Linked DNA regions of Tribolium castaneum. The protein of the gene in region 1 purifies or fractionates together with the protein of each later gene. This does not show direct contact. Links are inferred from orthologs where the notes say so. Each region holds a gene or a part of one and is shown in the gene's direction. Other genes may lie near its edges.

Region 1 (3,935 bases):
CGACTGTCCTCATAAGTTGTTTGTTTGTCCAAAGAAAAACTTTATACTCTTATTTATTGGATATTAAAGGCGAATGTTATGACTTTTAAATTGGTTTTATTAAGGCAATTAAAGGTGGTGGACACTGTAAAACCCATATTTACGAAGTTACTTACACTCAAGCCACATATTTCTACAGATTTTATTAATGACCACAATTAATTACTCCCTAAAGCCTTCACCTTTTCTTCGATCAGGTGGTTTCTTTTTTAATGGAAATGCATGTGTCTACGCAACATGTTAAATATAAATTCACAGTATGCAAGATACCATCAGGTTTGTGCAGCTAAGTGCGTTCAAAATAACACAAAGTGCTCGCAAAACACCCAAGAAACAATGCATTACACTCTGCTCTAAACTTGTTTTGCTCACCAGGAAGAAAGTACTCGACTTTACCTAATTTTAAAATAAACCCACTTTTAACATCCCTATAGCAATAAATGAAACATCTTAATAATAATAGTAATAACAATAATAATAATAATAATAATAATAATAATAATAATAATAATAATAATAATAATAATAATAATAATAATAATAATAATAATAATAATAATAATAATAATAATAATAATAATAATAATAATAATAATAATAATAATAATAATAATAATAATAATAATAATAATAATAATAATAATAATAATAATTTGAATTGAATTTTTTTTATGACTAAAATGAATAGTAATCAAACGTTGAGCAGGAGAAGTAATTTAGGTCAAAAAAAAATGAGAAAATAATTATTTATATTGTTATTTTAGTCAATTAAATATTGATAGGCGTGGCCAATTATGTTTAAAATGAATCCTATTTTTATACAGAATCGTTAAAGGGATATATACAGTCAAAAGTCTGAAAAATAGTTCATTAAATTGTTTTTCAAGTTATATTTACAATTGGTTTATCATAAAAACCGTCAGCTGCAGTAAAATGGGACTAAAAACAATGTAATATCCTATATTATATTTTTGAATAAGCACTATAAAGTTGGCTTAGAAACATAAATGGTTGCGACATCTATCAAAAAAAGCAGTAATCATTGTAAACTGTACAGAAACCTATTAAGAAAATGCGCGCAAAGCAAATCGGTTTAACGGTCATCTTGTCTCCGCACTGAAATACAGTATAAGTGTTTATTATCGTTAGTGACAAATCACAAGTTAATTTACAACGTAAAGTGCTTCAAGTAAATTGTTACAACTGTGTGAACCGCTGTTTGATATAATTTGGGTAAACAACGATTGAAATTGGCCGTAGTTTTGAAATAACGATAAGGAACCGTCATTCATACGTTAGCAGCAGCGTATGAATATAGCCTTCCTGCCAGTTTAATCATCCTACATGTCCATGTGGTGTTAGCCGGCTGATTGCAAGAACCAATTAATTAAAACCGTTAAGTTTACAATATTAGTCAGTAATTCTACAATAAAATGCATCAAGAAACACTCCGACTTATACAAGTGCTAGAAAAAACTGTTTCTCCCGGTAAGTACAAAACTTGACTATTTGACAAGTTGCCATCATTTTTTAACCACTGCCATATAATCGCATGCCTAATCATCAAAAAGCACGTTCCTCTCAACCCCGCCTCATTTCCGCCTTTTCGATAAATTTCAACCCGCTTTGACATTTTACGAAATTCCCAAGCAACTCCCCGTCAGGGCTTAAACCAAAAACCTGACGATGTCGCCGCACCGGCGTCGAAACGTCGGTCGCTCTTTTTCCCAAAATGCAACTCTTTTCAAGCCCTCAAGCTCGCAAAGTTTCATCATAACCTCACACTTTTCGAGGTCATTATCCTCAGTGATTTTCCGTTAATCACAGCCTATTTGACGATTTCCAGATAAAAATGAACTGGAGCAAGCATCAACATTTCTTGAGCAAGCTGCCGCCGCTAATATCTTAGAATTTATCAAGACTCTATCCGATATCTTGCGACATGGGGGCAACAGTCCCGTTGCTCGCATGGCCGCCGGTCTCCAACTGAAAAACCAACTCACGTCCAAAGATCCCAACATCAAACAGTTATGTCAACAGAGATGGCTGTCGGCACCGGAGGAGATACGCAACTACGTCAAGAAAAACGTAATTGTTTATATACCGGTTTTGTTAGTGTTTTTTTCGACCGTTTTCTCCAGGTCGTAGGGGCCCTGGGCACGGAGACCAACCGGCCTTCGTCAGCGGCCCAATGCGTGGCTTACATCGCTGTCACCGAATTACCGCACCACCAATGGCCCGACCTGATCGTCACGCTAGTGAACAACGTAGTCCAACCAAACTCCACCGAAATGCAGAAAGAAGCAACGCTGGAGACCATCGGCTACATCTGCCAGGAAATCGACTCAGACGTGCTCGTTACCCAATCCAACGACATCCTCACGGCGATCATCCACGGAATGCGCTCCACAGAGCCCAGCAATCATGTCAGATTTGCGGCAACGCAGGCGTTGTTAAATTCGCTCGAATTCACTAAAGCTAACTTCGAAAAGGCAACTGAAAGGAATTTCATCATGGAGGTGGTGTGCGAAGCCACTCAGTCGCCAGATACGCAAATTAAAGTTGCAGCGTTGCAATGTTTGGTTAAAATTATGTCTTTGTATTATCAATATATGGAGCCCTACATGGGCCAAGCTCTCTTTCCCATTACTTTAGAAGCGATGAAATCTGACAATGATGCCGTGGCGCTTCAAGGTATTGAATTTTGGTCGAATGTTAGCGACGAAGAAGTGGATTTGTCCATCGAAGCCAATGAGGCAGCGGATGCAGGCCGGCCCCCAGCCAGGTAAGAGCATCATTTCTGGAATGACTATTAGTAAAAACTGTAATTCCCTGTTTATGCGTTTAAGTGAAATCCAGTCTGTGAGCGATATGATAAATTCGTAACTTAATCAGCTAATCGTTAAATATCATTAGATAACTAAGTTTTTCTGTTTTTACTTCGGTCAGAGAATTCCCACAATAAATGTTAACAAGAATAAATAATCTTTTTACGGCTTTTGCCATGCTATTAAAAGAATCAGATTAGTAGTAGTTTCATAAACCTAGTCAGATTTTTATAAACACAAATTAAACTAACGATGCTTTTGTGTTGCTAACTTTAGTTTGGTATTTTTATGATCGATAAAAGCCTTGTTTTGATTTGATTTTCACAATTTGCGTTTGAAACATCAAAAAATAGATAAGTGTTAAGTCAACAAGCCTATTATTAGAACGGAGATTATTCATTGTCCTGTTACGCTGACTCAACCGTCAGTCAGTTAAGCGAATATTTCTTCCAGAGTATCACGCCACTACGCCAAAGGTGCGCTCCAATTTATCGTACCCATCCTTCTGCAAAAACTAACGAAGCAAGAAGAGCTCGATGACGAAGACGACTGGAACCCGAGCAAAGCTGCCGGCGTTTGTTTAATGCTTTTGGCCACATGCTGCGAAAACGAAGTTGTTCCACACGTTTTACCTTTTATCAAAGAAAACATAAAGTCTGAGAATTGGCGATTTAGAGATGCGTCGCTTATGGCTTTCGGCTCGATTCTTGGCGGGTTAGATAACACCACTCTTAAACCATTGGTGGAGCAAGCCATGCCAACCTTGATAGAGCTGATGTATGATAGTAGCGTTATCGTGAGAGATACTGCGGCTTGGACTTTCGGCCGAATTTGCGAAATTATTCCCGAAGCGGCCATTAACGAGAATTATCTTAAGCCCTTGCTGGAAAGTTTGATTAATGGACTTAAGGCTGAACCGCGAGTTGCGGCGAATGTCTGTTGGGCGTTTTCTGGATTGGCTGAAGCCGCCTACGATGCAGCTGAAACTAACGAAGACACGGGAACTCCCGATACGTACATGTTGTCACAATACTTTGAGTATATAATTCAGCGGCTTTTGGAGACTAC
Region 2 (3,268 bases), on another chromosome or scaffold:
GACCTCAAGTAGCCTTAGCTCGTTAATCAAAGTGTCTCCGTTGAAGAGCTTACTTCGTGACGATTTAAAGAGGAAGATCGTCTCGCGGATGAACTCCTCGCCAAGGGGGCGCTCCACCGCGAGTCCCAACCAGAATCCTGAGACTTCGCCCAGTGACACGGCGACCACCACCAATGGGGCTATCACCTCGACGGGGCCCGAACAACCGTCGGACTCCTCCCTGTGGCGGGCGATGGGCAAAAGGTCTTTGTCTAGTTTACAATGTATTTTCTGCGGGATCGGATTTCCAGACCAGACTTTGTACTTTTTGCATAAAGGGTGTCACTCCGACGCGAATCCTTGGAAATGCAATATCTGCGGAGAGCAGTGCTGCAATGTTTACGAGTTTAATTCGCATTTGTTGAGTAAAAGTCATCAGTAGGCTCGATTTACTTAAACTATGACATACTTTGTAAAGTTTAGATTAGTTCAAGTTTCATACAGTTTTACACGGAAAAATTGAGTATGTGATAATTTGTTGTAGAAATTGTTGATGCATTTCTTGTTTTTGAACAAGTTCAGGGTTTTATGGGTACATTTACGAGCATTCCGTTTAGTTTCATTCCCTTTTGGAAATTGTCCAAGTGCCTGCCGGTTGCCTATAAGCAAAATTACCTGAAGATTTGCTCTAAACTCATATCCGTCCATTAGTAAGAAGAGAGGTATATTTACAAGCATGATATTTTCCAAAATATATTGTAAAGCAAGTGCTTAGTCTCTATAGTTGGAGCTTCATTACATTGTTACATAAATTAGAATTAAGTTTTACATTTTATATATACATTCCATTTTAGTGTATTGTTGATTCCATGAGACAGAAACAAAATAGTTTGTACAGTATTTATTGTTATATTTTATGGTAATTTTATTTCGTGCAATATATTTTGCAGTGCCTTAAACAAAATTGCACTCGGACGTTTAAGTTCATTTAAATTTTTTTACGAAGTAAGGATTTTATTTTCGTAGGCAATTATCGTAGTGTAGATAGTAGGGCGACATGTTACATTCCTTCAGTTCATTCAAAAATATAGATATATTTTTTTTTTATTTATACACAAAATGTAAATTACAAATTCTTGTAATTCTGGTGAAAGGGTTAAATAAACTTTATGGAATTTTCGTCTCGCTTCGTTTCAATTACACCAGTCTAAAAACAAACACCGGAAAGAAGTCAAAAAATGAGATTCGTATCCGCTACGACTGGCAAAAAATTCCACCGGAAAAATACCGCCAAATTTTAAGTTCGTAGTCACGTGATTAAATTCCCGCCAATCAGCGTTTGCCTGATACGAGCCGGCACGCATAGTGGTTGTCAATTTTTGTAAATTATTTTACCCAAAAAAGTGCTTAAAACGAATTTTTCCGTCTCACGACATGCAAATCATTAAATAAGCCAATTCTGTGATAGTCTATGTTTTGTGAAATTGTTTGGAAGTGTGTCGGTATCTTAACCTCGCAAATTCGTTTCTCCATTTATGGCTAAAAGAACGGCAACAAGTGATTTAAATCACGATAATTGGGATAGGGAGGACGAACCAGAGACGGCTGGAACGTTTACAAAAGCTTCAGATGAAGCTTTGAAGAACAGAGTTATAAAAGTTGCCCGCAGGAGGAACCCCATATCATCAGTCCAAGTCAGTACGGTTTCTAATGTGTGTTGTTTGATTACGAACAATTTTAATTTTTAGAGTGACGATAGCAAACCCAGCGCATTCGGTGGTTTTTCTGGGTTTGGTAAAACGCCAAGTAGTGCATCCAACACGTTTGGATTTTTGTCAAACTTAAATAAAACCGAGACTAGTAAAACCAACGGAACTACGGAAAAAGAAGCAGAGACTTCCGACAAGAAATTAGACGAATATTATGCCAAATTAAAAGGATTAAATGAAAGTGTCACTGAATGGATAAAAAAACACGTGTCATCAAACCCGTTTATCAACTTACAACCAATTTTCAAAGATTACGATAAATATATCAACGAACTTGAAAAGGCGAAAGGCGAGGCAGCGTCAGAAACATCAACTAGTGCCACAACTGCGCCCCAATTTTCCTTTGGTACAACCTCTACAACCACAACTCCTAAATTTTCATTTGGGGCCACTTCTACCGCATCCACAGGATTTTCATTTGGCTCCAGTACCACAACAGTTAGTTTCACTTCAAGCACTAGCACAGCTACCCTATCAGGAGGCGACAGCTCCTTTAAATCGCAACCGTTTTCGTTTGGTAATTCAGGCTCTGACAGCGGCAAATTTTCATTCACAAGCACTGTCATAAAACTAGCAGATGAGCCAAAGCCCCAAGAGCAAGAAGACGAAGACGAGCCGCCCAAAGTTGAGTTTACGCCAGTGGTAGAAGAGGGACACATTTATTCAATCAGATGCAAGGTTTTTGTGAAGAAGGATGGCACTTTTGGAGACCATGGCGTGGGCACTCTGTACCTCAAGCCAGTCCCAAACGGCGAGAAAGTCCAACTCATCGTGCGCGCTGATACGAATTTAGGAAAATTAATTTGTAATTTCATTTTGTCGGAAAGTATCCCAATGCAAAGGATGGGGAAAAAGGATGTTATGTTAGTTTGTATTCCAAATCCAGACACGCAACCTCCACCCGTGCCGATTTTATTGCGGGTGAAAAGTCCGGAAGATGCCGATGAGTTGTTGAAAACTTTGCAGAAACACAAAAAATAGGCTAGGGGTGATTAGCTCAATAAAATATTTTTCTAAGTAGACGTTTTTTTTTTCAAACCAATTTTGATAAAAATTTGAACAGTTCTAAAATTACATATGGTGCCTCATATATACATTTTTATTAATTACACAAGTAAAATATACACATTCTGTGAAATACCCACAAAAATACAGTAATTATAAATAAAACCCGCGGTAAACAGTAAGATAAAACGAGACGTGTAAATCGAAATTGTGGCCATTATAGTATTGCACAGCATTCTGCTTTAAAAACCTGCATTTTTAAAGAAAAAAAGTATCATAGTTTGGAAATTCCATTTATGGCGAGTTTTTTATCTAAATTTTGCCCGAGACCGACTTGAATGTGTTTCATGTGAATTTCGACGGAGTTCTGGAACACTAGTTGATTACTTGGCGTCAACTTCCTCTTGATTTGTTCCATCGTGCCTTGGAGCACTTGCAATTCGTATGCGTTTTGATCCGAATCGGCCAAACTTTTTACTTGCAACATCAAAGCCGTGAGATCGGTGATGAGTTCC
Region 3 (4,198 bases), on another chromosome or scaffold:
ACCCCCGTCTTCCAAATCCTTCCAGTCCGCGTTGGTCCAAGTGGTGAACTTCTCCAAAATATAGGCCGCCAAGCCCACCGGAGAATCGTTCAGAGCCACCCCCACGGTGTCGGGCTTGGTGGCTTGCAAGTGCATGTACCCCATTTCCAGCAAAATATTTGAGTAGAAAGCCGAGAGCGGATATATTTTCGATTCCATCTCCTTTGAAACGATTAGGGGAGGGTAAATACTGCCCAAAAGAAGTTTCAAGTTGGATAACGGGGTGTTAACGAAACACATGTTGGAGTGAACCCCCAGCACATGTTCCGGGAACAAAGTGGCCATGTTCTGGACAATCAGCGCCCCCCAGTCGCCCCCTTGGATGTAATATTTGTCAAAACCGATCCGTTTCATGAAGTTTTTGAACACCACGGACATTTCAATCGGACCCAGACCGGGGCGAACTGCCGCCTCCGAGAATCCGTAACCGGGAAGTGACGGGACAATGACTTCGAAGACGAAGTTGCGGCCTTCGGCCGGTTTAGTTAGGAGGGGGATAATGTCGTAGAACTCCCGGACTGATCCGGGCCAGCCATGGAGGAGGAGGAGCGGGAGGACTTTGAGGTTTCCAGGACTTGGGGGTTTGACGTGGATGTAGTGTAGTCGGAGTCCTTGGACGCTGACCGTGAACTGGGGATACTGGTTGAGGAACTTCTCGCGTTCCCTCCAGTTGTATTTGGTCCTCCAGTGGTCGATGATTTTGCCCAGGAGCTTGGTGTTCATGCCGTAGTGCTGCTGGGCCCCCTCGAGTGGGGGCACCAAGGGGCGCGCGTTGGCCAGGCGGTGCTGGAGGTCCTTGAGAACCTAAAACATGAGATTATGCAATCGACGTTCGCGACAATAAACGGTGACCTAGAACTTGATTGAGTGATATTTTTGTTGTCTGTTTATTTGTACGCTAATTGGTTTGGTGTTTTTGTTTACCTCGTCAGAGACATTGATTTTGAAAGGCTTGATCGCGGTGTCTTCTTTCGAGGGGTCGCGGGGGCCCCACCAAGTGTTTTCTAATTTTGGAACAGGTGGGGTTTCGAACAGTTTACTGATTTGGTAAGCTGTTAGGACTGTGATAATCACTAGAACTAGTTTGATGATTAGGCCCATGTTTTGCGCGTTAAATGCCGGTTGTGTATTTAAATTGTTTACAAACGATGAGACCGCACCGCTTGGGAGGATAACACGCTACTGAAGTTTGAACTATGACTCTGGCTTATAAAAGTTTTAAAGTATAAATACAAATTGATAGCTGTAATTCGTGCACACACTTACCTATCATAAGATATGACTTTCAAATATTTATCATATAAAAAGTTTAGATAGGTCTAGACACATCAATACTTGTTTCCACAAGTTTTTGGCAAGTTTTAATGACTTGGATGTTTGATACAAAGTCATGTACAATGGATTTATAGACATTTTGCACTAATTACTATAATTAATTGTTTGTGATACAAATAACACGGCATAAAAATAAAAATTATTGGTGAAAACGAAGGTGGAATGAGTTATTTTTCAGTTCTTCCACTCATTCTGATTCAGCATTTCACTGTTGAAATATGATGACTAACTATTATTAAAAACTAGAAATAAATTGAAATATAAAAAAATACAAATGAAATCTTTTGACGCTGAAAGATCAATAAAAAATATACCTGCACAGTATGTAAAAGCTGTACAGTTTCTCACTGTCCATCCTGGTGAAAATAGCGTGCTCTTGGGATTGAGTTGTCTTGGTAACAGGTCACTCATTTGTACCCAAATGGTTCTTAAGAAAGTGAACCTATTTTACTTTTCTACCAGACCGTACTAAAGCAGACCTCAATATGTCCAAAAAATATTTTTAAAAGACACGTTGGAACTTCTAAAGCTCGCGAAATCGTCGAAATTAAAGTTTGTTGTCTATCTGGACTTTGCCATTGGTTTTCTATATTGAGATTGAAACGGAAACATTTTTTATTGAAGATAGTCGTATATAATTGTATTATTAGGATATTAAGAGTATAAGCGAAGCGTTATACATATGTGCCAAGGCTAGTTGCTTGACTGCCGACTGCAGTCCGAGTAATATACACTATTTTTTCTCCAAACGTATAAAACAACAACATAATTAAATAGATTATTTAAAAAAGCACCACAATTTGTGTTATTCCTGAATCCGGACACTACATTGACAACTTTTACCAACCAAAAAAAAAAATTCGCAAAATGGTTGACGCATATCAGCTCGTAACTTACGCATTGTTTGGTAAAAGAACAGTGTTAACAACAATTTTTTTACTAATTTTAACGCTATTTCTATTGAAAATAGTTCAGTAACATGTAATACGCTCAGAAATACTTCTTCATTATCCAGTATGTGTTAGGTTTTCTCCCATAAAACGACCAATAAAGCTGAAATAGTGTTAAAACTCAAAGTAATAATACAGCAATTTTAATGCCAGATTTATTCTTTATTGTCCAATATTTCTTTTATTCGCAGACGACGACTACTATAATTACTATTCTTTGTAATCTCACATATGAGGAAAATTATTACTATCATGTTTTTTTAGTATTTGGACACTTTTCATTATTATCTTCGCTCAATAATGACTCGCTCTTTGTAAGAAGATTCCACAATATTTTTTTATAATTCTTAACAATCTGAGAAGAGGTATCTTTAACGTTGTTAAAAATAAGATAAGATAGGTTTGATGCTTACTGCATTGTGGTAAAATTTTTTAATCCTTCCTCGTATATCGAGGAAGCAAGCTCTTTTAGGAACTTTTCTATTTTACATGCCTAAACTGACAGTCCAGAAAAATGACACCTAACGTCAAACACTTTAAGGTCAAAATCGAGAATTTCTGAATATCTGAACCAACTTTAAAAAATTCCAACGGCTTGACACGCGTGAGCGATTGTAATTTATTAAATAATAGTTGTAGTATTGTGTAAATAATAAAAATGACAAATACCAATGTAGACGACCTTACAAGTGCCTTACAAGGCACTCGTGTGAGCCCCACTGGGGTCACCTTTGCCGGCCAGTCTTTAAAACTTGATACTGTTGATGACGGTAAGGTTATATCAAACCCCATTGCACCAATCGACATAAATTTATCAAACTCGCAGCAAAAAGCGTAATTGAAGAGATAGAAAAATGCACCAACCTCCAATTTTTAAACTTGGAAGGCAATACTTTGGGAGTTGAAGCGTCCAAAGGCATTGCCAAAGCATTGGAAAAACATCCCGAGTTTAAGAGAGCGCTATGGAAGGACATGTTTACGGGCAGAATGAAAACAGAAATACCGAAAGCTTTGGTATAATCTAACCAATTATATACAAACAAAAAAATTGAGTCAAAATTTCAGGAATTTCTTGGTAGTGGTTTAGTAACGGCAGGTGCCCGCTTGACTGAACTGGACATGAGTGACAATGCTTTCGGCCCAATTGGTGTCGAAGGACTTGCTGCTCTTTTGAGAAGCTCCTCATGCTATGCTTTAGAAGAACTCAGGTTAAATAATAACGGCCTAGGCATCACTGGTGGTAAATTGTTAGCGTCAGCCCTAACAGACTGCTATAACTCTAGTAAAGAAACGGGAAAACCACTCCAGCTCAAGGTTTTTATCGCTGGAAGAAACCGACTTGAGAATGAAGGTGCAAAAGCACTTGCTGAGGTTTTCAAGGTAAAATAAATTTCCAATCAGTGACCTATAACTTGACAAAACAATATTTCTTCACAGATGATTGGTACACTTGAAGAAATAGCAATGCCCCAGAATGGTATTTACCACGTTGGCATATCGGCACTATCTGAGGCTTTTACCCAAAATAAAAATCTGCAAATTTTAAACTTGAATGACAATACGATTGGTGAAAAGGGGGCTGAGGCCATTGCTAAAGCCCTCCCACACTTGCAACAGTTGAAAGAAATCAATTTTGGCGACTGTTTGCTGAAAACTGCCGGAGCTATTTCTCTAGCAAATGTTTTAAAAACTGGTCATGCCAACTTGGAGGAGTTAACACTTGGGCACAACGAAATTCGCCTGAAAGGGGGGCTTCAGTTGGTTAAAGCCATGGCGAATAAAAGTAAATTGAAAGTGTTAAATTTGAACGGAAATCAGTTTGGGGAAGACGGTCGTAAACAAATTGAAACCGAAATTAAACAAATAGGCAAATT

Evidence for each region.
Region 2: the proteins of Fs(2)Ket (region 1) and Nup50 purify together in Homo sapiens (affinity purification with mass spectrometry; 4 studies listed by BioGRID and IntAct, counting the BioPlex papers as one, with this or other methods). This does not show direct contact. The link is inferred for Tribolium castaneum from reciprocal best matches to the Homo sapiens genes KPNB1 and NUP50.
Region 3: the proteins of Fs(2)Ket (region 1) and RanGAP purify together in Homo sapiens (affinity purification with mass spectrometry; 3 studies listed by BioGRID and IntAct, with this or other methods). This does not show direct contact. The link is inferred for Tribolium castaneum from reciprocal best matches to the Homo sapiens genes KPNB1 and RANGAP1.

Annotation. Positions count from the first base shown.
Region 1 is NC_087398.1:2,430,676-2,434,610, reverse strand, and holds the start of Fs(2)Ket (importin subunit beta-1), read left to right. Parts: upstream 1-1,135; 5' UTR 1,136-1,472; coding exon 1,473-1,527; intron 1,528-1,885; coding exon 1,886-2,127; intron 2,128-2,180; coding exon 2,181-2,824; intron 2,825-3,320; coding exon 3,321-3,935.
Region 2 is NC_087402.1:5,415,391-5,418,658, reverse strand, and holds Nup50 (nuclear pore complex protein Nup50), read left to right. Parts: upstream 1-1,300; 5' UTR 1,301-1,514; coding exon 1,515-1,673; intron 1,674-1,727; coding exon 1,728-2,729; 3' UTR 2,730-2,768; downstream 2,769-3,268. Other genes in the region: zinc finger protein ztf-16, read left to right, coding at 1-421; mip130 (protein lin-9 homolog), read right to left, coding at 3,028-3,268. UniProt on the Homo sapiens protein: Component of the nuclear pore complex that has a direct role in nuclear protein import. Actively displaces NLSs from importin-alpha, and facilitates disassembly of the importin-alpha:beta-cargo complex and importin recycling.
Region 3 is NC_087394.1:31,333,285-31,337,482, forward strand, and holds the start of RanGAP (ran GTPase-activating protein 1), read left to right. Parts: upstream 1-1,398; 5' UTR 1,399-2,982; coding exon 2,983-3,094; intron 3,095-3,150; coding exon 3,151-3,338; intron 3,339-3,389; coding exon 3,390-3,704; intron 3,705-3,761; coding exon 3,762-4,198. UniProt on the Homo sapiens protein: GTPase activator for RAN. Converts cytoplasmic GTP-bound RAN to GDP-bound RAN, which is essential for RAN-mediated nuclear import and export. Mediates dissociation of cargo from nuclear export complexes containing XPO1, RAN and RANBP2 after nuclear export.